Linked DNA regions of Xenopus tropicalis. The protein of the gene in region 1 purifies or fractionates together with the protein of each later gene. This does not show direct contact. Links are inferred from orthologs where the notes say so. Each region holds a gene or a part of one and is shown in the gene's direction. Other genes may lie near its edges. The genes, in order: rbbp7, sap130, sin3b, sap30l, suds3, mtf2 and arid4a.

Region 1 (3,025 bases):
AAAGCTGAAGCTCCATTCCTTCGAATCTCATAAGGATGAAATTTTCCAGGTTTGTTTTAACCCCATCATTATATCTGGACTCGTATTACCAAATAAATGTTGTAATGTTGTAATTATATTTTCTATAATCCTCTCTAGGTTCACTGGTCTCCTCATAATGAAACTATTTTAGCTTCCAGCGGTACAGATCGAAGACTTAATGTCTGGGATTTAAGGTGATTTTCATATCTTGTAAAATATGGTCTGGCATGTTCATATTTTATTGGAAAATTACAGTAGAAAAACTGCTCTTCCACAGAAGTAAAAAAATATTTTTGCAGCCCAATGCAAAAGTCTCCATTTGTCTATGGCCTATTGCAGAGGTCTCCAAACTTTATTACTAATGAGCCACAGTCAAATGTAAAAAGAGCAACACAATCCTCATAAAAGTTCATCGAGGTGTCAAATAAGGGCTAAGATTGGCTATTAGGTAGCCTCTATGTACACCATCATCTTACAGGAGGCTTTATCTGGTAATAAATCTTGTTTTTATTCAACCAAAACTTGCCCCCAAGTCAGGAATTCAAAAATAACTACCTAGTTTGGGGGCACTGAGAGCAACATCCAAGGGATTGGTGAGCAACATGTTGCCCCCGAGCCACTGGTTGGGGATCACTAGCCTATTGTGATAATAATGTGAAGCTTTGAGTAAGCCACACTATAACCTGCCCTTTTCATGCAAGGACTTTTTTTTGTGCAGTAAAAACTGTAAAATCACACGTTTTGATTAATACTAGTAATGTCCTAAGCATGGTTTCAACATTAGGAATTGTGAAATAAGTGTAATATACAGGAGAAGTCTGGTACTGATACAGTACAATCAGGGAGAGTGATGCAGCATTTACTATTTTCCCCTTAAATGGGATTATTGTTTTAAAGGAGTCTGAACAAATAAGAAATACTGTGTTGGAGCTTAAATAGAAAAGTGTGTGGTTCATGGCAAAGAGTATGTGTTCACTGTTTGTCTTTTTATTTACCTTTCTGACAGTAAAATTGGAGAAGAGCAGTCAGCAGAAGATGCTGAGGATGGACCTCCTGAGCTTTTGGTATGTTTGTGATGAGAACTAGAATTGGGTAACTAGGAATTATAGAAGTGGGATGGGCAATACTTTTTCATCCCTTAACAAGTTTGTTTAAGCTACATCCAATACCGTCACTAGCAGCAGCCAAGCCCTATGGCAAAATCATTTTAGGCCTTGATTGATCATATGACACATGCAAAGGTTTCAGTACTGGGTAGAGCACCCCATATTGTGGGGAGTTTTTCAGTAAGGCATCTTGCCTCAAATAACAGCATACAGTCTTTCTGTTTATGTAGTAAGCATAAAAGCTCAGGGTCATTCTGATAAGCAATTTTACCTTAGCTAGGCTACAATCTGGGCTTCAGTCATATATTGGTTGAATGTAAAACATGGCCGTTATGCTAATCTCTTAGCATTAACTGGCAGATTTCTCATTATGATCACAAATTACATTCTAATCAGATGTGTGAACATCTCAGATACCCCCCCCCCCCCACCCAGCATTTGGTCAACTTAGAATGCGCTGTAATGGTTTAGCAGATAAAGATCATACTTACAGAAGGGATCCCCTTATCTCAAACTCTAGATTCAGGTGTTATCCAATAGTATAAATGATGTTATAAAATGGTTACTTGTCTTTTAGTTTATACATGGAGGGCACACAGCAAAAATCTCTGACTTCAGCTGGAACCCAAATGAACCATGGGTGATATGTTCAGTGTCTGAAGATAACATCATGCAAATATGGCAGATGGTGAGTTATTAAATAGGAGCAACATGAGCATAAAATACAGGGGGGAAAAAAGCCTTTGACCCATTTTAACTTTTTTTTTTCTTCTGAAACAATTAAGTGGCAGCATGCTGATAAAATTTGTAACTACTTTTAGCCACAGTGACGGGTGAATCCTAACAATAAATGTGAAAACACTGCCCACTGCATGGCTATATCCTCTCATGTCATGTGGCCTAAAGGCGGGACATGACTTTTTTTTTTTTTTTTTTACCAGATCGTGAAATGATCAGTGTTTTGAATTTGCTTCCTCAACCTACATTTGTCTTTGTTTTAGCAGTTACTTATTGCAAATCGCTGACTCTTGTTGAGATACACCTAGATGATCAGTTCAGTACTTTTGTATCTGCTGTTGTCTGATTCATTAATAAACTATTAACTCTATTTCTTGCAGGCTGAAAATATTTACAATGATGAAGAACCTGACATACCAGCTTCTGAGCTAGAAGCTCAAGGATCATAGATCTTTTTCCTTTTTCTTATTCACACTCACTATTGCAGATGCTGCCACATTTGTGACGTGGTTAATGTTTGTGTAAGTTAATTTGCAATTCTGAGTACATGTATTGACATTTTCTTTGTAAATTGTATTGTAATATTCTTGCTCTTTGTATTGGATACCTGGGGGACTCGCTGAAGCGGCTGATGGAATAAAAAAAAAAAATTAATAACAATCTTAACATTTTGTATTTTGGGGGGGAAAGTACAAAGTTTGCACATTAATGTTCGCCTTAAAACACATGGCACCAAACACCATGGCACAGTGGTCTCAGGGCAGGACAATTTAAAAGAATTGTATGTGTAAAGATTGGAGATTGTCTAAGTCCATTTAAAGGGGATTTTGTGTGTGTGAGAGGCAGGTAATGGATATTCGAGTTGGCTATGCAAAGAAAAAAGACACTGTTCTATTAAACATTCATATTTACTTACATGTACAGAAATGAGTAGATAAAATGCCAGATTTACATTTGTGAAAGACCTTTACAAAATATGAAACAATGCCCCTTGAAATACTCTGTTTTGTCCTTTTTAGAGATCACAAAAAACTTGGATTGTAAAAAAAAAGTAATGTAGCTCAGAAGTTACAATTTTGTATTTTTTTTCTGGTTCCTGGATTCACCAAATCACTAATATTCAGCCAAAACTTTATTACAAACACTTAAAACAATGTGAT
Region 2 (3,500 bases), on another chromosome or scaffold:
CACAAATGTTCAGATGTCAATTATCCGTAGTAGTGCCCCAGGACCTCCATTGCATATTGGAGCTTCTCATCTTCCCAGAGGTAAATGAGTAGTGATTTTGTGACTGATGTGCACTGTGACCATTGCATTTATCCCTCATTCACATTCTGTTTTTTGGTTCTTAGGAGCTGCTGCAGCAGCTGTCATGTCAAGCTCTAAAGTGACTACTATGTTAAGACCAGCTTCAGCACAGATACCTAGCGCAGTTGCTGCCCAATCAGCCACTCAACACATTATTCACCCCCCTATCCAGGTATGTATTTTAATACTACATATGCTGTCTTTCCTTGTTGCAATGTTGTTTAAATTATAACCCACAGAGGACTTGTGAGTGTTGCCACCTGTTGATGGCAATTAAAAAGGACCAGTAACACATGGAAATCAAAATGGCCTAAAAGTGTTTACACTCCATTGCTTCTTTAAAACTTCAGCACATTTTAGAATAAACTTTACTTACACTATATAAATTATTTAAATCTGGTTTTCTTCAGTCCTGAAATTCATAATCCCATTTTGTGGACACCGTTATTAAAGCAAGCTTTGCATCATGCCAGAATCTTATGTGCCAAAATGGGGGACCTCATGCACATGCCCATGCACTGGCTACACAATTAGATGGTGAGGAGGGCAGTGAAATGCTGAATGGAAATGCCGCTAGGTCTTAGGCGTAGAGGCAGGGCAGGCAATTTATGATTGACAGCTAGGATAAATGCCTTTATAATGGGTATGGATGTGTTTATAAAAAAAGGGGTTTATAAAAAAATTTGGGTTTCATGTTTAATTCAAAAAGGACTTTTATAATACAGCTTTTATGTCTGGCTGACTGGTCCCCTTTAAGCTTACTCTCTTAACTACTGTTCTTCATAAAATGTTTTATATATTCACTCTTTTTAAGACAATGGCAGACATTTGCTGCTATATTGACATATATGTTCTATATCTTTACAGTCTCGCCCTCCGGTGACAACGACAACATCAGTTACTCCTGCTGTGGTAGCCACAGTATCGGCTACTAGGGCGCAATCACCAGTCATAACAACTACACCAGCCCATGCTGCTGAGCCAGTGTTAAGGTGAGCACCAGAAAAGTCATGTGATAGCCGCATGTAGCGAATTCATTGGCGTTTTGCGAATTTTCACCCATCACTAGCCATTATACTAAGAATTTCAGCTATATTTTTCACAAATCAACACCATTTAGCATGTTTACTTTACCCATCCATTTATTGGCACACTGACCTTTTTTATAATCTGGACAAAGTTAAAGACAGTTTGTTGATTGGTGAATCCTAGTACTGTTTGCAAGATTGAAATTCCCCCGAATCCTTAGTTTAATCAAAACTTGTTTGTTTTTTCTTGTCTTACAATATTTGTTTAGGGCCCCTAATTCCCTTATAATAATGTTGTATGGATGATGATGATATAGATCATCTTGTTTTAGTTACTAGAATATCCAATCCTGAAGTGTTTATCTCAAATCTCACCATAGTGGGTCTCTAGGTTATGGTATCAGAGATACTTAATAGTAAGTAAAAGTAAATAAACCTTCATCCAAAAAGTTTGCCTGTTTAGTAATATACATTTTGGAATCCTTTTGCATTTTACTATATTTGGTCTGAGAACTGTTAAAGCATTTATTGTTTACAATTTTTGATCAAATTTAATATTTTTGACTCCATATGAAACAGACCAACACTGTCTATCCAGCAACACCCACCACCTGCTGCAATCAGTATCCAGAGATCAGCTCAGGCTCGTGATGCAGCCACCACGCGCATTACTCTGCCAACACACCCTGCTTTAGGAGCTCAGAAGCCACAGCTACATGCAATGGCACAGGTATTCCTTGTCTTCTACTGAACTATGGTTAAAGTTCCCTATAATGTATGATTATACTTAATGTTTAGTTTTATCCATTATATGAGTCAGTGGAATGGTTAATTCAGGTTGGGTGATTAATGCAGTTCTGTGGGGTTGAGTTTCATTCCTCCAATATATGTAGCATAATCTTAAGGTAATATTCTATTTGCAATGAAAAGTCGAAAGAGGGAAAAAGTGTTTTAACAGAATGACTTGCAGGTTATGAAACCATCATCATCATTTATGCTAAGTTATGCTCATTCATAATACAGGAATGAGATCTGGAATCTCATTATCCAAAAAGCTCCAAATTACAGGAAGGCCATCTCCTGTAGACCCCATTTTAATTAAATAATTCCTTTTTAGAGGCAAATCAATTATGTTGGGGTTAATTTATGTTTTAAAGGAGAAGGAAAGGCAAAGTCACTTGGGGGTGCCAAAATGTTAGGCACCCCCAAGTGACTTTAATCGCTTACCTTGTACCCCGGGCTGGTGCCCCTGTTAGGAGAAAACCGCACCAGCCCAGGGTACCTGTAGTGAGCGCTTCCTTCTTCCGCATTTCTTCTGCTGGCAAAATCCCTGGGCTGGCGCATTTGCATTAGAGTGAAAAGCCGACTTTCTTGTTTACATTCGGCTTTTCACTCTAATGTGCATGCGCAATGCGCCACTGCGGAAGAAGGAAGCGCTCGCAGCTACCCCGGGCTGGTGCTGTTTTCTCCTAACAGGGGCACTAGCCCGGGGTACAAGTTAAGCGATTAAAGTCACTTGGGGGTGCCTAACATTTTGGCACCCCCAAGTGACTTAAGCTTTCCTTCTCCTTTAAATTATTTTTTAGTAGACTTAAGGTATGGAGATCCAAATTATGGAAAGATTATCTGGTAAACCCCAGGTCCTAATCATTCTAGCTAACAGGTCTTTTTTTGTCTGTAGAAGACTCTGTTTGGAACTGGTAATCCAGTAGCAGCAGCAACAGTGGCTCCAATTCTAGCAACAAACACTCTCCCTTCTGTGACAACTTCAGGTCAGTATGGCATTGAAAGAGTTGGAAGACAGAGATGCATTTTTTTTGTCTTTTTGGCCTTTGTTATAAATATTTCTTATGTTTTAGACCCTTACTCTAGTGAACAGGGACATGAGCAGTAACAGTGTGTCTATTATTGCATTTTCAGGTTCTGCTCCCCACACGCAAGTTTCCACGAGCGCCATTGTTACTATGACAATGCCTACTCACTCTTCACATGCTACAGCAGTGACTGCCTCCAACATTCCTGTGGGTAAGTGCTAATGTTCTGTTGTGTGTAAATAAATGCAGTGATTTTATAGGAAAAAGGAGCTTGCTAGTTATCATTGTCATCCTTGCGAATGCAAGCAAAAGTAGAATAGGCTTTAGGGCGAAGACACACATGGGGGCAATTAGTTGGCGCGACTATTAATTAACGCAGTCGCGGCTGACTAATCACAGCGACTTCCCGCCCATAGAAATGAATTGCGTCACCGCAACTTTAACAATATTACTCCAACTTGCAGTGTTGCAGTAGTAAAGTGTGATGTGATGTTTCAGAGCACAGACCACACGGCTGTGGCACCCTGGGAAATGAAGA
Region 3 (3,500 bases), on another chromosome or scaffold:
CTGCATCGATGGTCCCCTAATTATGGTGCCCTCAGTGGTATTGCCACCTATATTAATGTTAGAGACTAGTTATTAAAGTTTAAAAGGTGTATGAACACAGCCAAGTGAGAGGCCCTCCTGCACAAGCCTTAGACATCAGATTTAAAAATGCTGGTTTCCAAATAGTTAAACAATAGCCACTGGGAGATTAAAATGCTCTGGGGGTGGGGTGGGTGCCCCAGGCCTGCCACTTAAACTGACCACCAATCCCTGTGTAAATGAAAATATTAGAAAGGAGTGACAGTCATCGAGCTTTGTCATTGGTTTTGGTGAGGGCTCCCCAAACCCATTGTTTAGAGGCACAAAGGCTTTTATTGGTTTTCATGAAGACCGTGTGATTTTTTTTTTTTTTTTAATATACTTTTGGGTCCTCCTGTTTGCTCAGTTTTTATAATTGTGAGTTATTTTCAGGCCTCTAGGTGATTCACCAACAAGTATCTTTTGCATAAGGAAGAAATGGGGTAATAGTTGAATCCTTTAGAATGAATCTGCCCATGCTAATATTATAGGACTCTTTTTTTTGCATGTAGAATAAATAGTTAACTTCTTCTTCTGTGTTTCTGTGTGCTTTTCAGAAAGTTTCCTGAACTCTTTGCACAGTTCAAGTCTTTCTTGGGTGTTAAAGAGCTTTCGTTTGCTTCACCAGTAACAAACGACCGCTCCAATGAGGGCATTGGGCGGGAGATCGATTATGCATCCTGCAAGCGCATTGGCTCCAGTTACCGTGCTCTACCCAAATCTTTTCCACACCCAAAATGCAGTGGGAGGACTGCACTCTGCAAGGAGGTAATTCAGTTTCTCAGTGTAAACCAATTCTGGGTTACAAATCATAGTATCGCTAGGCATCTTGTTGTATATTTTTTAACCTACAAGAATTTGAATATCTGTTTAGTATTTCCAAAGGCTTTTAACATCAATAAAGGATTGATTACAAACAAAAGGAATATATTCACAAAATCTAAACATCAAATTAAATAAAATGTAAATAAACATAATACATTTATATTCTAAACCCATTTGTATATCTTGACACAAATGGCCTTCCATTAGTATAGAATCTTGCACATCCTTTGCTTCCGAAATACAGGAAGATCTGCACCACCTTCTCCCTGGTTACAGACCACGTAGCTACCAGACTTTTTATCATGAAATACATGGCAAGTTTTATACTAAAAGTGCACTTGTCAGACAGTTATTCATTTTTTCCACTTGTGCCTCCTTAAAATAATACCTTTAATTTTTAAAATTTGGACCTATAGTAGTTAGTTGCAGAACCCACAGGAATGTAGGTATACATGTTTTCCTCCATAATCTGGGATATCTGCTTTCCATATACAGTATTGCTTTCAGTACATGTACCTCCCCATGCTGGCATTAATAAAGTAAAAATGTGTCCATCCTCTTTTGCAGGTATTAAATGACACCTGGGTGTCATTTCCTTCGTGGTCTGAAGATTCTACTTTTGTGAGTTCCAAAAAGACTCCATATGAGGAGCAGCTTCACCGCTGTGAAGATGAGAGGTTTGAGGTAAGCCACAAATGCTAACATAAGGTTTCACTGGACTTGCCCAGCTCATGCTGCTTCTTTATTTTACTCCTACTGCCTTTTTTTGCCTTCATGATGTATGTATTTTATATATTTCCTGTAGTTTGAAGCATTTTTAAAACTAGCCTTTACCAGCTGTTGAAAATGTTTACAACCAATTTAACAAATGTAACTTTTTTTTTTTCTAATTGTGTACAATAAGGCCTTTTATGTTTTGGCGGTTCCATTTTTTTCTTAAACTGTTGCAGTTTTCTGTTCCATTGACTTCTTTCCTTCTCATTAATAGCTGGATGTTGTTTTGGAAACCAATTTGGCTACCATTCGTGTGCTTGAAAGTGTCCAAAAGAAACTCTCCCGCATGTCTCCTGAAGATCAGGAAAAGTTCAGGCTAGATGACCGCTTGGGAGGCACTTCAGAGGTTATACAACGCAGGGCAATCTACAGAATATATGGGGACAAAGCTCCAGATATTGTAGAGAGTCTAAAGAAAAACCCAGTTACTGCTGTACCTGTAGTATTAAAGAGGTGAGAAATTGGGTCTAGTATATAGTTTATATATTTTTAGGGCCAATCCTTATTTAGCTGTGACTTTATTATACAATAAAGTTTAAGTACAAGGGCAGAGTAAGAACAATATCTCAGCAAAATCTCCTACATGCCTTTAAATCCTGCTTGTTTCACAGACTGAAAGCAAAAGAAGAGGAGTGGCGGGAAGCACAGCGGGGCTTTAACAAGATATGGCGAGAGCAGTATGAAAGGGCATACTTGAAGTCTTTAGACCACCAGGCTGTCAATTTTAAGCAGAATGACACAAAAGCCCTGCGCTCCAAAAGCTTGCTTAACGAGATAGAAAGTGTCTATGATGAGGTGAGTGATAAAATATGTAAATATGATTTTAAGCAGGTGAATTTTTTGGATGTCCATAATTTGTATAGCGCCAGGAAAAACCTGTCATGATTTTTATGGTGTAGTTCTTATTACTATATTACATGGTATACATTACAAATAATTATCCTAAGAAATACAGGTGTTAAGGTGGCCATACACGAGGCGATTTCGCTCGTTGTGCGATGAATGATTATATCGACAAACGATCGTATGGCGATCGAGTTCCCATACGATATGCCATCCACGGGCAACGATAATTCGGGAAAGATTTTGTCGCATCATTATCGTAAAATACCTACGATCGTACATCTACGTACGATCGATGTCGTTGCTGGCAATCGTGACATGCGCAGAGAACAATCGTTGAAAGACAAATGTCTGACACTCACACCAACTGGCAGATTTTATCGTTAAACGACCAAAATTTTTAAACCTGGCCGATCGATTTTGGGGACGATAATGTCGGCTCGTTTAGTGGGCCGACGATCGTTCGTACACCACCAACTATACGATAACTTAACGATAGCATCGGATCGTTCGGGAATCGGTCGTTTGTAAGTAAAAAATCGGTCCGTGTATGGCCACCTTTAGGGATGTGTTATCTTACTACTTTCCTATTGTTCTGCTGATCGGCTGCTGGGGTGGGGAAAGGTTGGGAGGTGATATCACTCCAACTTGCAGCGCAGCAGTTAAGTGTGACTGAAGTTTATCAGAGCTACAAGGGAGATTTGTTGCGGGCGACTAATATCCCTGTCTGTCACGGCCCTAATAGAATTCATGCTAATTAGGTATTATTCACTTGCTTTTCAGGTCAGTGTATGTTCTATAAAACAGGTTAAGTGTCAGAGTAGTTTAGATCCAAGGACTGATACAGTTGGTGTTTTAAAATTGCAAAGGAAATTTATACCTTTCTGAGGCAAGCTGGAGCCAGCTTTGGGTGTCTTTGCTTCCTCTGGATCAGTTAGCAGCTAGCTTGGAATCATTTGAATAAAAGATCAATTTTGATGTGCATGTAACTCGCTTTCTTT
Region 4 (4,212 bases), on another chromosome or scaffold:
AAAAGGAACTAATATTGGACAGCTTGGTCTATATGTTGTCAATCTTTTATTACACACAATTTTTCAAGAAGGGGTTTGATACCTTTATTTCAAGTTCTGTTTCCCCAACATCATGGTTTGACAGAGGTTATGAACATGGCATTGCGGATGTGGATTGCAGAATGTTTGTGCTGAAAACCAGACAATTATTTTTATACTGGACATGTGGCATCCCTATCTAGGTCATGTAGTTAGGCAGGTTATATATAGGCATTATGGTTGAACGTGATGGACGTATGTCTTTTTTCAACCCAACTTACTATGCCTGAACATTGGTGAGGGGGCAATTTTTTAGGTTTCCCCCATTAAATGTAATCACTACCCGCCTATGTAGAACTGGCCCTCCGGTTCTGTAAAATACGTTCCAGCCCTGGGTCCTGTTGTGCAGAGCAGGCCACTGTTGTCTTTTTTCAGGGTTCTAGGTATCACTAGGAACCCATTAACCTTAATAGGGAAATACATATTAAATGTCGGAATGGGAATAAACAAAGGGCTGTCTTTCAATATAAAAATTTATGATATTGTCATTATTATTCTATATTTTCTGTAGCAACCACATATCCCACAGCTCTTAACGGAAATTAAACATCAGTCCCCAGCAAAGCTTACAATCCATGATCCCTCACGTTTGCACCTCCTATGGTTGGTTTTATCAAAAGCCAAATAACCTGCCTAAAGTTTTTTTGAGTTTGGGTGAAAACCATAGTTGCTGGTGGAGATCCAGACATGAGGATCAGAACAGGCAAACATGCAGCTAATGACCTGAGCCTCCCACTGCAAGTTAGGCAGCACTAGCACACTGTGCAGAGGGCAGAGATACCTATACCTTGTACACAAGTGCATTTTGAACTAGGACCAAGAGGTGCAATTTTACTCCACTTTATCTAGCAATAACATTAAGTACATCTGTATGTAAATAGGGCCCAGTTGTATCTACCCTGAAGTTATTAACAAAGAGCAGACAAGAAAATCACCTAGAAACTAAAACAAGTAGTAAGCCAAAAATAGCAATTTTTACAGCTCTGTTTTACTACCACAACAAACTATTTCCAGAAAAACTTTGTAAACAATTTATTTGGATATTTGTATCTTTCTCAAACATTTCCCATAGAATCCCACGGAGTTTTCTCGTAACCGGATGTAGAGCGTTCTGTTACGCAGTGACTGACGGCATAGCTGACCAATCACGTTTATTTCTAAGCTCCTAGTGCGAAGGTTCACTCATAGACGGAAAAGGCGTGTGCTTACGCACAGTAAAGGAGCGCAGGACTGACCAATCGTTGTTGCGACTTGGCTTCTGGTTCCCCGCCTCCTGTTTGCGATGTTCAATGAGCGTCGGGAGGCGGGCGGAACATCAGTTGTCAGGGTGCTGGCGGCTGCACAGCTTTGGGGATGAACGGATTCAGCACGGAGGAGGATAGCCGTGATGGGCCGCCGGCCCAGGCTGCACCATTCTTTGGACAGACCTGCTGCCTTATTGATGGCGGAGAGCGCTGTCCTCGGCCCGCTGGAAACGCGTCGTTCAGTAAGAGGGTGCAGAAGAGCATCTCACAGAAGAAGCTCAAACTCGACATCGATAAGAGTGTGAGTAGATCTTTACCCCCTTGGGCACTTTTAATGGGTTAGACTACAACTCCCAGCGTCCTCATAAAGCCTTGGGAACTAGAGGCTAACTGCAGTCAGGTTATGAGACCGGCGGCAACTAACGGTTTTGTGATTAAGGCTCATAGATCCTGTCCCCCATAGAAACATGAAGCAAATATATATAATTATACATAGAAATGCACTGGCACAGACTACAGTACATACACAGAGGGTTGGATAAACAGCCTTTTATAAGTTACTGCAGGAATAACACAGGTCCTATAGTACTATAAGGAGTATATTCTAGAGATAGAAGAAGGGGGCCCTTTGTGCTACTATGAGTGGCCCCTCTGTGGTATATAGGCTTGGTTATGCGGCTTTAAAGAGATACTGACACCAGAAATTAAACCTTTTTTTTACATCTATCATAACATTGTTTTTGCATGACCTTCATAAAAGTATTTACCCAATGCTTTTATATTACCTGTCTGATCCCACATGTTCTCCTATAAGGAGGCTGCCATATTTGTCCAGCCTTTAGCATTAGAAGATATAACTGACAGGCTGAGAAGGGACAGTCAGGTTGGCAAAACAGTCAGGTTTAGGAACTTCAAGTAACAATTAATTACAAAAGCAAATCTCTCAGCGAAAATCAATCAACATGACTTAAAGGCAACTTTTTATGTACATTCATATTTTGAGGAGTCATTTTTTAGTGTCAGTATCACTTTAAGGTGGAATCCAAGTTTTTTTTTTTCAGTCTTGGATCGTTCACTGTCCCAGGTAGCAGCAGAGTTTAATGACTTTAGGGGCAGTTAGTTGTGCCCCCTAACTGCCACATGGAGAAGTGTCCCTCAGTGCTACTGGGAGCAGATACTCTCCAGTATAAACACAATCACTGCTACACAGCCCCACAGAAACACAAGACCCCTCTCTGGGCAACAGGATTACCATTTTGTCCAATGGGCATTGTAGGAGCCCTATACCGCTACAGAGGCCTGATAATGTCCTAAATACACAGCAGGGGAGCCCTTAGTAGTTTACAGATCAGAGACAGTCCTGCTGAAAAAACACCTAATGTTATTGTTGCTCAGTGCAGGTTCCCTACAGAGCTTTGTATGGAAATGTTTACATACAAACAAATCTGTATTTGATCATGTGTTGTGTTTACATGTTGACAACGTTTCCTGTTCATTTAATAGTAGATAAGTTATATCCAGACAAGGAACAGAACCTCCTTAAATACTTAGATTTGTTTTGTAACTTTGTTATTAACGTATGTTAAATGCTTTTTGGAAAGCCCTTTGTTTTGGCTTTGCAGCAAGACCACATTGGGCTAAAGAACCACTTTTGAATCGCAGTAAAATAATCCTAGATCAGGTGATGCTGGGAGGTGTAGCAGTGGCACCCACACCAGCGCTAGACATGTTTGCAGGGCATTGAAACCTGTTAATTGCGGAGGTTGTTGAGTCCTGGGCCCACACTGCACTCTGGTGTAAAAGTAAAGGGACCAATGACAGCTTAAAGTGAATTATTGTCAGTTGTTTGGTTTACTGTCTTAAACAGTTAGTAACGTATTCTCCGTGCACCACTGAAGTAACTGCAGACTTACTGTGAAAATTTAATATATATTTTGTGATTTAAAGTTTTCCTGGATTTTACTCCATTTTTATTTGTAGTTGTTCCACTAATAAATAATGCATTTCCCTGATTTTACATTTTGCAGAATTTTAGACCATTTTTTCTTGGCTCCTGATAATCCTAAAATAGGGTTTCTACTCTATATGCTCATCTTTCCTACTTTATCTTCAGGTTCGGCACCTTTACATATGTGACTTTCACAAAAATTACATCCAGAGTGTTAGGAACAAAAGAAAGCGGAAAACCAGCGATGATGGGGGGGATTCTCCAGAGCACGAAACAGATGTCCCAGAGGTGAGTTCTTTTATGCTTTTAAATGCAACAACACATAGGGCGAATTCAATCATTCTGTCTTCTGGTTGTTTTATAGCTCTGTTGACAGGGGACAGAATGTTTAAAGGACAAGTCAACCCAAAATATAATTTTAAGCAACTTTGCAATAGACATTCATTACAAAATTGCAATGGGTTTTGACTTATATTTATATAGTATTGCAATTCGAGTTCAGCAAATGCTGCTTTCAATAGCAATTACATTTACAAATAACTTTTAAAGCACTAAAATGTTTCAATAAATTCACATTGGAAAGTTGCTTGGAATTATGGTTTCTTTTATTAGGAGAATTAATTTTGGGGGTTAAAATGTCCTTTAAAGTCGACACCCTTATTTACTTGAATGATATTTGCCTAGAAACACCAGGGTCGCTTACTTGAAGGCATTTGGTTTGACCCAGTCACCACCTATCAAGGAAGTGCACCATTTGTTTTTAGGCTAATCAAGTGAATTGAGGGGCAATATCAAGCATTTTGTCCCCTTGCCCTTTGTGCTATTCAACAACATGATCATTATAAAATCACACCAGGCAGTGGTTTCAAAGAGACCAAAGAGGAATGTGAATAGAACAAGACCTAAGTAGAAAGATAATTAATCAAAACTATTTAAAAGCTG
Region 5 (3,500 bases), on another chromosome or scaffold:
ACAATGGAATTGACTGGAGGTAAGATGAATCTTTGCTGAAAATAAAGTGAAACATTTCAATTCACTGTAAATGAGTTAAGTGCAAACAGTTTTTGTATTCTATACACTGTGGGGCCTATTTATTCAAGTACGACAGGTACGAATTACAAAAAATTCGTATTTGATCGTACTGTGGGTATTTTCGGCAACTTTTTTGTATTTTGCGCAACTTTTTCGTACTTTGCAACAAAATCGTATTGTTGTGACGAGTAAGAAAGTTTCGGATTCATTCAAGCTTCGGTATAGTGACTTTCCTTGGGCCAGGTTGGAGCTGCTGAGTGCCTTTGAGTCCTATGGGAGGCTTCCAAAATTAAGCACAGAAGAATCAAAGTCAGAAAGGTTTTCCTGCTGTTTACGATCGTTCGGATACGAAAATTTTGGTGACTTTCGGATCACCAATATGATATTATCGTGACTAATGCGATTTTTCCCGTAAGCGTTTTCGTGATATTTGCATTTATCAGAAATTATCATATTTAATCCAAATTTTTCCCAATTTGGGATTCAAACTCGTACTTTGATGAATAGACCCCTTAGTATAGAAATGATAGTTAATACTTGCTCAAATAATAACCCCTCTTCCATCCCAAAGGGGTTTCTGGGATCACTCCTTGTATTGGATAAAGGGCAGACAGAAACTTGTGCATAACCCATTTGGACTACCATAGCTTAACCTTTACTAACCCAGCCATTTTTATAACTGATCATGGTAGATTTGAAAGTTGTTTTATCAAAGCAGTTATTGAGTCTCCAGTTCTGGGATCTTCTTTTCACTGTCACCCCTCCTTTTTTCTTTATTTGCGCACTTATTCAAAGCATCATCACTAAAACTCAGGCATCGGGATTTTTAGGACTAGCCCAACATTGCATTATTTACCCACACTTCACAAATCCAAGCTTCCAAATTTCTATGCTATATTTTTAAGTAGTCAAATAGAGGAGACCAGTATCTCTGACTGGTAGTAATGCCTAAAATTAACTTTGGCCCTAAAATTCCATATATTTTCTGATCATTTCTTATCATTGGGTGATGAAAAGAGAGAGTAGTTTTTTTTGCTGAGGGGCCAAAAAGCCTTCAGGATAACCATACACATCATACTATATGAATTACGTGCCCTTCACTGTTAGGAAGATTGCAGTAGTGTTATCGGTTTATGTTATGAGATTATTTTTAGTATGTCCTGTTTAGGTTACACATTACTATTACAATAGAACATTTTGTTTTATATATTTGTTCGAGCTCCTCTTCTGTTTTCTTCTGAAAATAAAAATGGATTTTTTTTCCAGATTTGAATATGCATCTTAACGATTAAAACTGTTTATTTTGTTGGTCCTGCAGAATTGCATGACGTTCAAATTGTAACAAACAGTATTTTAGCCCATGCTCCCATGCAGTTGTGTAAGTAATATGAGCTCATGCCAAGGAGTGGTATTTATCGTCCTCTCCCCATCTACAGATTCCATGGAAGTGAAGCCTATTATGACACGTAAATTACGAAGAAGGCCGAATGATCCAGTGCCAATTCCAGACAAAAGAAGAAAACCTGCTCCTGATATCTTTTGCAAATACTTAATATTTCATGACTATAGGCCACACAGACAGCTTTTCAGATGTTAAACAGCAAAAAAAGTATCCCACGGTTAGTGGGATGCTTTGACTGACTTTGATAAAATGAATCATTATCATGACTGACTTTGACATACTTTATCGTGTATACAACACAGCCATGATTATGCAGCTCTTTCTGAAGTTGTCCTTCAGTCATAACAGTCCATGCCCCAGTGGAGCTTCCGATCTATGTTCCCTATTACGTGTACGTGCGACTGCTGGACATTGCAGCGCAGCGTATACCATCCTTCCAGCGATTTACATTCCAACTGGTGGGATGGCATTGCGGGGAGATTTGTCCCCATGACAACAAAGATTTGTTGCGGATCGACTAATCTCCCGTTTACAACTGCCCTTAGGGTGAAGACACATGGAGCTACTAGTAGCAGCTACTTGTAGTGGCTACTAAAATAGACAATGCCGATCATTTACTGATAACGGTCTCAACATGTTTTTTAGCAGAGGCAATTCTCAGTATTGTCTATGGCAGGGTATTTTTTGGCGTTTAGCAGCCGTGACAAAGTAGCTGCTACTAATAGCTCTTTGTGTCTTCACCATTAGATGGATAAAAACACACGCACTAAATTGATAAATTAAAAAAAAAAAAAATGTATATACCATTAGCCCATGGGAGATCACCTTTTAATAGACTTTGTTTAGTAAAAAAAAAAAAAGTGCTATAAATTTACCCTATTTTAGAGTAGGGCCAGAATTACTTTTTCAGTTAATTACTTTTAGGTAAGGTATTGTGCACACAGCTTTATATATCTGGACACTTACTTTTTATTCCATTACATGTCAGTTGCCATACTAATTATGTATATGAAAGATACCATATATTGTTCTGGAAATGGCAGAATGCAGGTGCAGTGGTAGAGGAAAATGATGCTTGGGTTTTCCTTATAATGTCAGTTTAATGACACATCATTGAGCTAAGGAATTATCATGCAAGAACAAGTATTGTAAATACACATCATGATGTTTATTGTAGGTAACAAACCTACAATTTGCATTATAGGGATGGGGGTGTATCTGGGTCACATTTGAGGCTTGTTTTAAGAATTTTTGTGAATTGTTATAGTTAAATTTACATGTGTAATTTCTAGAGATATATCTGTTTGGAACGTTTTTTTTTTTATATACTTCTCATTGTGAACTATGACTTAATTCTTGGCACCCCAGCTAAATTATCTGCTAACAGATGAACAAATCATGGAGGATTTACGAATCTTAAACAAGGTGAGTCTGGTTACATTGCATAAAGGGAGATTACATTGATCTTTGTGTTTTATTACAGCACTAAAAACCTAAAGATCTTCATGCTCTATGTTGACTGACTGTCAATTTACCAGTGGTTGTTACCATGGAGCTAGGTAGTAGTGGCACACCTTCATGATGTTTCCCCTTGCTTCTAAGAGTGCAGTATGGCAACTAAGTTGAACTCCAGAGTTAAGTTTAGTATTATTTTTCTAGTTATTTCTAAACAAATGTATTAAGTGGTTAACATGGGGCTTCATTTTTTAGCCTTACAATGTACCAAAACACTGTACAGTGTTACAGTATCTCCTGTCTCTTGCATTCTGCAAGCTAGGCATTCCTGACAGTGTGGCTCATTTAGCAATCCTATCCCCCAAAATTGCAGCCATTTAGGCCCATCCACAGTGCATTTTCACCCATGGCATAGAAGGAGCAAGCTGTATTCATCTTGTACTGAATAAAAAATTCTGGTGCAGGGTGCTGAGTAGAGTAAGGAACGTAACGTCTGCTACAAACAGATGTTAAGTATATGGCTGTCTGGTGCCTCCTGGCCCTGGCACTCCCTAACCTTCTGTCTGAATGACATGCAGCTATT
Region 6 (3,500 bases), on another chromosome or scaffold:
GGATTCAGGTCTGGGGAACGGGAGTTCCAGTCCATAGCATCAATGCCTTCGTCTTGCAAGAACTGCTGACACACTCCAGCCACATGAGGTCTAGCATTGTCTTGCATTAGGAGGAACCCAGGGCCAACCGCACTAGCATATGGTCTCACAAGGGGTCTGAGGATCTCATCTTGGTACCTAATGGCAGTCAGGCTACCTCTGACGAGCACATGGAGGGCTGTGCGGCCCCCAAAGAAATGCCACCCCACACCATTACTGACCCACTACCAAACTGGTCATGCTGGAGGATGTTGCAGGCAGCGGAACGTTCTTCACGGCGTCTCCAGACTCTGTCACGTCTGTCACATGTGCTCAGTGTGAACCTGCTTTCATCTTCGAAGAGCACGGGGGCGCCAGTGGCGAATTTGCCAATCTTGTTGTTCTCTGGCAAATGCCAAACGTCCTGCACGGTGTTGGGCTGTAAGTGCAACCCCCACCTGTGAACGTTGGGCCCTCATACCACCCTCATGGAGTCTGTTTCTGACTGAGCAGACACATACACATTTGTGACCCACTGGAGGTCATTTTGCAGGACTTCTCCATTTGGCAGTGCTTCTCATGTTCCTCTTTGCACAAAGGCGGAGGTAGCGTTCCTGCTGCTGGGTTGTTGCCTTCTCCTGATGTTTAATTGGTGTTCATGGATGCACTTGTTTGGTTTCTTTCTATGATGTGGTAGATTTCTCTTGGGAATGCATTGAATCCATTTTCATGTCTGACCACAGTCATAAGATGATTTAATTGAATGCCAAACCACATCTGCATTCCTAAATAAGAGTAACAACGGAATGCAGGCTATTGGGGCAAGGACCATATCAACAAGCCAATGAAAGCCAAAGCTGACATGATTTTTAAACCTGTCTGATCAATATCTGGCCAATTTTCAGACAGATATTGATTGGACAGGCACATCAGAAGGCCCTATACACAGCCCAATAGGGACCGAATTAGCAGCTTTTATCAATGAATACCAGTCTAAACCAATTGTATGTGATGGGTGATCAGTCATTAGTGTTTTCAGCATTATTGATTATTTTGTTTTTATGGTCTGACTGTTTTATCCTTTCAGCTGGCTGACACACCAAGATCAGAAAGATATGAACATATTCTGGATGCATTAAATGAAAATAAAACAATGTAAGTTATTTGTTTTAATTCTGTTTAGTTTTAAATGATCCGAATACATCCAGCTGATATATGGTTGGTTAGGAAACTAGCACCTTTTGGTTTAATATATATGATCTCCATTAAATACATTTACATATTTAGAAAATAGAGTCTGTAGAACTCCTTTATAAGAAACTTATAAAGCGAGAAAGCCAATTACAAAAGTATCTGCCAACAGTTTACCGTATTATAACCCAAGTTTCATTAAATAAAGGAGAATAAAAGTATACATACATATAAAATCCCATGGCAAAAGGAGAATTTCTGTGGAATGAGTAGCACTGTGAGTGGGCTATAGTTCAGTACATAAAGTATAAACAATTGCATCCAAAAATGTGTCTAAAGTTCATTTGGTGGCCTGAAATCTAGGGAACAGACACAAAATTTTTGGCATTGAGCCTAACTGCTGGCAAAAATCTATACAGAGCTGTGAAAGTGCTTAAGAAAGACCATTTGTTATAGGAAAAGGGCCACTCCGTATAAAGGTTCACACCTCCTATAGCTCTTATCTAGCAATGAAAGGTTTTGAATAGTAACATTGCTTGTTATTTTAGGGTTTTGAGTTTAGTCTTCTATTTGTCAGGTGCACAATGCATGTTATAAATGGTTTCTACTGTTCATTGGTGTAAGAGTAATTAGATGAACAAGAAACCGTGTAGACTGCTAAACAACCATTTGGACTTCAAAGGAGTTTGAAGTATGAAACTGAAACAGGTTATTCTGTAGGAAATATATAAACAGGGACTATTATATTGTATTGTATCATATTGTATTATGTACAAATGAAATCTACCTGTGCATTGTTTGTAACAAATTAACACTGTATTTATTGAATGTTGTGTTAGGTTTATGTCTGGAAAAGAAATTAAGAAAAAGAAACATTTGTTTGGCTTGAGAATTAGAGTTCCTCCAGTGCCTCCTAATGCAGCAGTTAAAATGGAAAAAGAGGAAAGTACATCTCATGAGTTCAAGATTAAGGGCAGAAAGTCTTCAAAGGTTACACCTGTCACAAAGTAAGATTCTCCATCCTTTTTATTATTCATATTGTGCTTGTTTAACCGAAAATAGATTTTTTTTTTTTTTTAAACTTGTGTGGATTCTTCATACCTAAAGCAATTTACCTAATAGGGCAAAGACACACAGTGAATGCAGAAAAGAAAATGGAAAATTAATTTATGAGCGTATCTCATTCATTCAGGTGCAGGCACATGTAGGAGGTGTAGGGCAGAATTTTCAGCACGCACTTTTCCGCTTGCCGAAAATATCCGCCCTACGCCTCGTCTGGCATTAGCCTTAAGTTTTCTTACAAAAGCCTTACAATGACGCTATTACTCTCCAGAATGCCAGCATAGGTACAAAACATTATGCAGAACATGTAACATTAAAATACATCAGTACAAGCAGGAAAATGTTAGTACATGAAAAAGTGAAGCATAAACTTTCTGACAAGAAACATGTTTGTCCTCATTATTTCAATTTTTTACCCACTATATTTTAGAGAGATAAACAATGGTGAGGTGAAAAAGAGGAAACCAGTTGGAAGACCACCAGGTTCTCACAGGAGAAAAATTTTGCAAAATGAGCCATGTGAAACCCCATCTCTGGCAAATGTAAGAACATTCTCATACTATACAAAGAGCAGTATAGTTGTAAACTTGTTTTGAAAATAGTCAGAAGCTCATTTTTATGAAACCAGAGTGTATCGTGTGGTATGAGGCATAGAAGAGGTTTAGTATTTTTTAAGGTTTCTGTTTTAGTTAGTGCTGTCTTCTGCATGCCCTCCAGTGACACATGAAGTACCTGGGACAGCTAGGGACTCATCAACAGTCTTTTTGTTATTTTTTTTACTGGCTACGTGCTCCATGTTCCTTTGGGACTTGATTCTTAAAATCCCTCCTTACTGCCCAGGGAATGTATCTGGCCCCACCTTGAATGACTTTCAAATAGGTTATTCCCTCTGTGCTCAGTCAACTTCTGTTGCACAGTGCTGTGTGCATAAGTAGCACTGTATCAATAAAAATATACACACATACATCAAACATTCTTGGCCAGCATTAACTGTTTGCAACCTTGCCTGAGGAAGCTGCTCTTGAGGGCACTGAACACTCTCCTTAGGCCTTGCCCATGGACCTTGCTGTATTCTGCTGCTGTTTTAAGCAGACCATGCACACTGTCCCTCTCCATTTTGTCTCAGAAAGCAGGTGAAGCTTAACCTGCTGTATCGATACAACAAACAGTAGGTGAGGTGAGTTAGTTTCCTATGTAGTGCCATGCAAAGGTATTCAGATCCTTATTAA
Region 7 (3,500 bases), on another chromosome or scaffold:
TTTATTGTTTTTATAGAAAAGAGGATTCTGAGCACAAGGGAGAGACTGAAGAAGAGGATGAAGACACAGAGGATCGAGACTATCTCGCTGGAACTAAAGTTAAAGTGAAGTATGGGCGTGGGAAAACTCAGAAAATTTATGAGGCAAATATAAAAAGCACGGAAGTGGATGGAGGAGAGCTATTATACCTGGTTCATTATTATGGCTGGAATGTAAGGTAAGTGTGAAGAATGTAGCTTTTTTTATTGTCCATATGTGCCCCACCAAAGTATTAATTTGATTATTTGTATGCTGCCAACTATTACTCAGTTTGGTCAAAACATCTAATTTCTGTCAACCCCAGGTAACCAGTTGGGAGAAACGTTTTGAATGGTGTTAATTTTTAATTCTTAATCTCAGTATGGCTCATTTTACTTCGCAAATGCAGTAGCTTTGTTTTTTCCCCACAGTGCACCATTTCTTCCCAGAATTCCAATGACATTGCAGTTGCAAGGGGGCAATGTGCTTGCAGCAGTTACACAGCAACTGCAGTTACATCTGGTTTGCCAGAATTAATGCAACTGTGCATGCATTTTCCAAATTGGATGGAATTGCACAGAAGGGAGTCTGGCCTCATTTGCAGGGATCAGCAAGTGACACCTGCACCTTGTTCTAAAGGCGCAACTTACTGCACCTATTGACACAGGAGCTACCGCATGGTCAGGAGGTGCCAGTAGTGCCAGGAATCCCCTCCGTTAATAGGTGCAGCAGCACTACATGAATCGAAAAAAGTGAAAGCAGGAAGGAACTGGAGCCATTGTCAACACTGGGTCACATTCAGTCTGTTCAGACAAGATTTTGGAAAGCACAGGCTAAATAAAAATTCCTCTTGACACTGGCAGTCAATACACCCCATCTGATATTATACTTGGAGGTTTTATAAACCACAGCTAGGCTTAGCTTATTCCTTTTGCTTTCAATGTTTACACTTTGTTATCTAAGAGGCAATGTCCTACAGCATATAGTTTTGTTTCAGTAGCATGATAATGTACTCTCTTGCAGATATGATGAATGGGTAAAAGCTGACAGAATCATCTGGCCTTCAGACAAGGGTGGACCAAAGAAAAAGCAAAAGAAAAAAACAAAAGTAATTACAAAACAATTTTTTTTTTAATTAACCATTTACCATGTTCCATGAGTCTTTCTGCTTAAAAAGTGAGGAATAAACCATACAAATTTTAGAGGGCCAGAACAACCCCTTTTTGAAAATATGTTTATCTTGTCTGTGGATTTTTCTGAGTCTTTAATTTATATACATTATTTATTTTAATTTATTATTTCCCTGCCAGAATAAAGATGAAAATGAAGAAAAGAAAGAGGATGATAAGCGATCAAAACGAGGCCGTCCTCCTTTAAAGTCAGCTCATCAGACTAATATGACCTGTGGTCTGCCAAAAACTCCGACTAGCGAGGGCAAGACATCCGTTAAAAACATGAGAAATAGCTTATCGGATAGCTCCTCATTATCAAATGGGCTAGAAGGTAAATGTAGTGCAAATAAAAGTCATAATGAAGGGCTTAGGTTACAAGCATTGTTTAAAATGTATACTGTTTGTTCATATGTATTTTCATTTTACTTAGTTATTATATTTTCCTTTGTATAATAGGATCAGCCAGGAGAAGAACAAGGAGGAGCTCTGGATTATATGATTCTGACAGATGCTCAAATGGTGGGTATTGGGTAACCAGAGCATTTTCATTATGACTTTTATAGCTACCACATATTTTGATAGTATTTTAGTAGTTCTTGCACACCCAGTTGTCATTCTTTGATTATTTTTCGGTATATCACATTCTTTTGATATTGTTTTTGCTGAATAATACCCACTTGAGAATAGAAACAAAATCCTAGATGAGACCCATAATCAGTAAATAGCTTATGAGTTTAATGAGTTTATTGGAATACTCAAAGAAGAGGGTAAGCTATAAGATGGGTACAGCCTAATCTTTCGAGTAATAGGCTATTTACAAACAACCTATATCTTTGAGTGGACAGATGTCTAACATTCTAGCCAGAACATTACTTCCTACTTTCAGCTTTCTAACCTCTTAAGCTGGCCATACACGCACCGATAATATCGTACGAAACCCCGTTTCGTATGATATTCAGTATGTGTATGGCGAGTCGACTGATATCGCAAGAGGCTGCTGATATCGGTCGACTCGCCGATCGGCCAGGTTAGAAGGCGCCTGATCAAAATCTGCCTTAAGGGCTGAATCGGCAGAAGGAGGTAGAAATCCTATTGTTTCTACCTCCTTATCTGTGGCCGACCGATGGTCGCACGAAAGATCGGAAATCGCCACGTGTGTGGCCACCTTTAGTCAGTGACTTTAGGGGGGGGCCACATGGGACATAACTGTTCATTTAGTTTGTGAGCATGAAGGTCAGATTCAAATGCAAACTAACTAAACAGGTATGTCCTTTATGGCCCCCCTCAAGTCAATGATTGGTTACTGACTGCTAACGGCTTAGAAAGCTGTAAAGGAGGAAGTAGAGCTCTGGCCATTATGTTAGGCAAAAATATAATCTATAAAGGCAGATGTCTATCTATATTGAAAACTTTTATATTTTACCCAGTTTCATTTTAATACTGAACTGCTCCTTTAACCTTTATGATTGCACTTTTTAAACCAACATGATGGCTTCTCTAATTAGTTTGAATTTTTGGTGGCTTATTCTGCCATTTTGTTAAGAAACATGTAGTCTGTTACTGTTTTCAGTTAAGATCCAAATAATCATAGCCATAAATGTAGCTTAAGCTCTAGAGCAAAAAAAACATGTTGCTCACACAAAAATAGCGTTGCTCACATCTTTTGACCAATCAGACATGATTATGTCATGGTAAGCATACTAAAAGCAACACTATACAGATCATGAAACAGAAATGTGCCTGATCCTTATTATGCAAACGGATGCATTTATTCTTATATTAATGTTACATGGAGTTGTTATAAGCTTTTATAAGCTATAGAATGACTAAGCACTGTTAAGAAGAATAATTTGATCCTTATTAATATATTTATTAATATGCCTTAAACATTTTGAATTACCAGCAAAGACATTTTTACAATTCAGTTTTATTTCAAAAGATATCATTAACATGCCTCTTCTAACTCTTGTTTATTATTTCCCATCCCAGACTCAAGCACATCTGAAAGTGAATCTGATGAAACATCAGAAAAGGCATCAGTAAAAGAGGAGGAGGTCCTACCAAAGGCTGAAGAAGAACCAGAGAACATTTTAAGCCTAGTTGATATCAGTCCTGTAAAGGAAGTGCCGCCAGTAATTTGTCTTCTAAAAGATCCGGAACACAGTCCAACAAAGCCAGCAGAAACTTTAAAACAAGAAGTGGAGGAAAGTGAACAAATCGTTCAGATTTACGGAAAGCAAACAGAAGAATTGGAAGAAATAAAGGAGGCAGAACATCTGCCAAAGTCCAAGGGAAGGAGAAGTAAAACAA

Evidence for each region.
Region 2: the proteins of rbbp7 (region 1) and sap130 purify together in Homo sapiens (affinity purification with mass spectrometry; 3 studies listed by BioGRID and IntAct, counting the BioPlex papers as one, with this or other methods). This does not show direct contact. The link is inferred for Xenopus tropicalis from reciprocal best matches to the Homo sapiens genes RBBP7 and SAP130.
Region 3: the proteins of rbbp7 (region 1) and sin3b purify together in Homo sapiens (affinity purification with mass spectrometry; 5 studies listed by BioGRID and IntAct, counting the BioPlex papers as one, with this or other methods). This does not show direct contact. The link is inferred for Xenopus tropicalis from reciprocal best matches to the Homo sapiens genes RBBP7 and SIN3B.
Region 4: the proteins of rbbp7 (region 1) and sap30l purify together in Homo sapiens (affinity purification with mass spectrometry; 3 studies listed by BioGRID and IntAct, counting the BioPlex papers as one, with this or other methods). This does not show direct contact. The link is inferred for Xenopus tropicalis from reciprocal best matches to the Homo sapiens genes RBBP7 and SAP30L.
Region 5: the proteins of rbbp7 (region 1) and suds3 purify together in Homo sapiens (affinity purification with mass spectrometry; 3 studies listed by BioGRID and IntAct, counting the BioPlex papers as one, with this or other methods). This does not show direct contact. The link is inferred for Xenopus tropicalis from reciprocal best matches to the Homo sapiens genes RBBP7 and SUDS3.
Region 6: the proteins of rbbp7 (region 1) and mtf2 purify together in Homo sapiens (affinity purification with mass spectrometry; 4 studies listed by BioGRID and IntAct, counting the BioPlex papers as one, with this or other methods). This does not show direct contact. The link is inferred for Xenopus tropicalis from reciprocal best matches to the Homo sapiens genes RBBP7 and MTF2.
Region 7: the proteins of rbbp7 (region 1) and arid4a purify together in Homo sapiens (affinity purification with mass spectrometry; 4 studies listed by BioGRID and IntAct, counting the BioPlex papers as one, with this or other methods). This does not show direct contact. The link is inferred for Xenopus tropicalis from reciprocal best matches to the Homo sapiens genes RBBP7 and ARID4A.

What each region holds. Positions count from the first base shown.
Region 1 is NC_030678.2:94,684,588-94,687,612, reverse strand, and holds the end of rbbp7 (histone-binding protein RBBP7), read left to right. Parts: coding exon 1-49; intron 50-138; coding exon 139-215; intron 216-1,027; coding exon 1,028-1,085; intron 1,086-1,704; coding exon 1,705-1,815; intron 1,816-2,245; coding exon 2,246-2,314; 3' UTR 2,315-2,525; downstream 2,526-3,025. UniProt on the Homo sapiens protein: Core histone-binding subunit that may target chromatin remodeling factors, histone acetyltransferases and histone deacetylases to their histone substrates in a manner that is regulated by nucleosomal DNA.
Region 2 is NC_030681.2:125,407,837-125,411,336, reverse strand, and holds part of sap130 (histone deacetylase complex subunit SAP130), read left to right. Parts: coding exon 1-80; intron 81-164; coding exon 165-292; intron 293-987; coding exon 988-1,112; intron 1,113-1,727; coding exon 1,728-1,878; intron 1,879-2,829; coding exon 2,830-2,920; intron 2,921-3,068; coding exon 3,069-3,173; intron 3,174-3,500. UniProt on the Homo sapiens protein: Acts as a transcriptional repressor. May function in the assembly and/or enzymatic activity of the mSin3A corepressor complex or in mediating interactions between the complex and other regulatory complexes.
Region 3 is NC_030677.2:111,966,178-111,969,677, forward strand, and holds part of sin3b (paired amphipathic helix protein Sin3b), read left to right. Parts: intron 1-614; coding exon 615-825; intron 826-1,449; coding exon 1,450-1,566; intron 1,567-1,870; coding exon 1,871-2,109; intron 2,110-2,267; coding exon 2,268-2,451; intron 2,452-3,500.
Region 4 is NC_030679.2:19,589,912-19,594,123, forward strand, and holds the start of sap30l (histone deacetylase complex subunit SAP30L), read left to right. Parts: upstream 1-1,412; 5' UTR 1,413-1,431; coding exon 1,432-1,623; intron 1,624-3,435; coding exon 3,436-3,558; intron 3,559-4,212.
Region 5 is NC_030677.2:165,508,454-165,511,953, forward strand, and holds part of suds3 (sin3 histone deacetylase corepressor complex component SDS3), read left to right. Parts: coding exon 1-19; intron 20-1,496; coding exon 1,497-1,592; intron 1,593-2,825; coding exon 2,826-2,887; intron 2,888-3,500.
Region 6 is NC_030680.2:104,201,370-104,204,869, reverse strand, and holds part of mtf2 (metal-response element-binding transcription factor 2), read left to right. Parts: intron 1-1,105; coding exon 1,106-1,173; intron 1,174-2,048; coding exon 2,049-2,216; intron 2,217-2,701; coding exon 2,702-2,813; intron 2,814-3,500. UniProt on the Homo sapiens protein: Polycomb group (PcG) protein that specifically binds histone H3 trimethylated at 'Lys-36' (H3K36me3) and recruits the PRC2 complex, thus enhancing PRC2 H3K27me3 methylation activity.
Region 7 is NC_030684.2:103,522,562-103,526,061, reverse strand, and holds part of arid4a (AT-rich interactive domain-containing protein 4A), read left to right. Parts: intron 1-16; coding exon 17-217; intron 218-1,041; coding exon 1,042-1,126; intron 1,127-1,328; coding exon 1,329-1,521; intron 1,522-1,646; coding exon 1,647-1,709; intron 1,710-3,179; coding exon 3,180-3,500.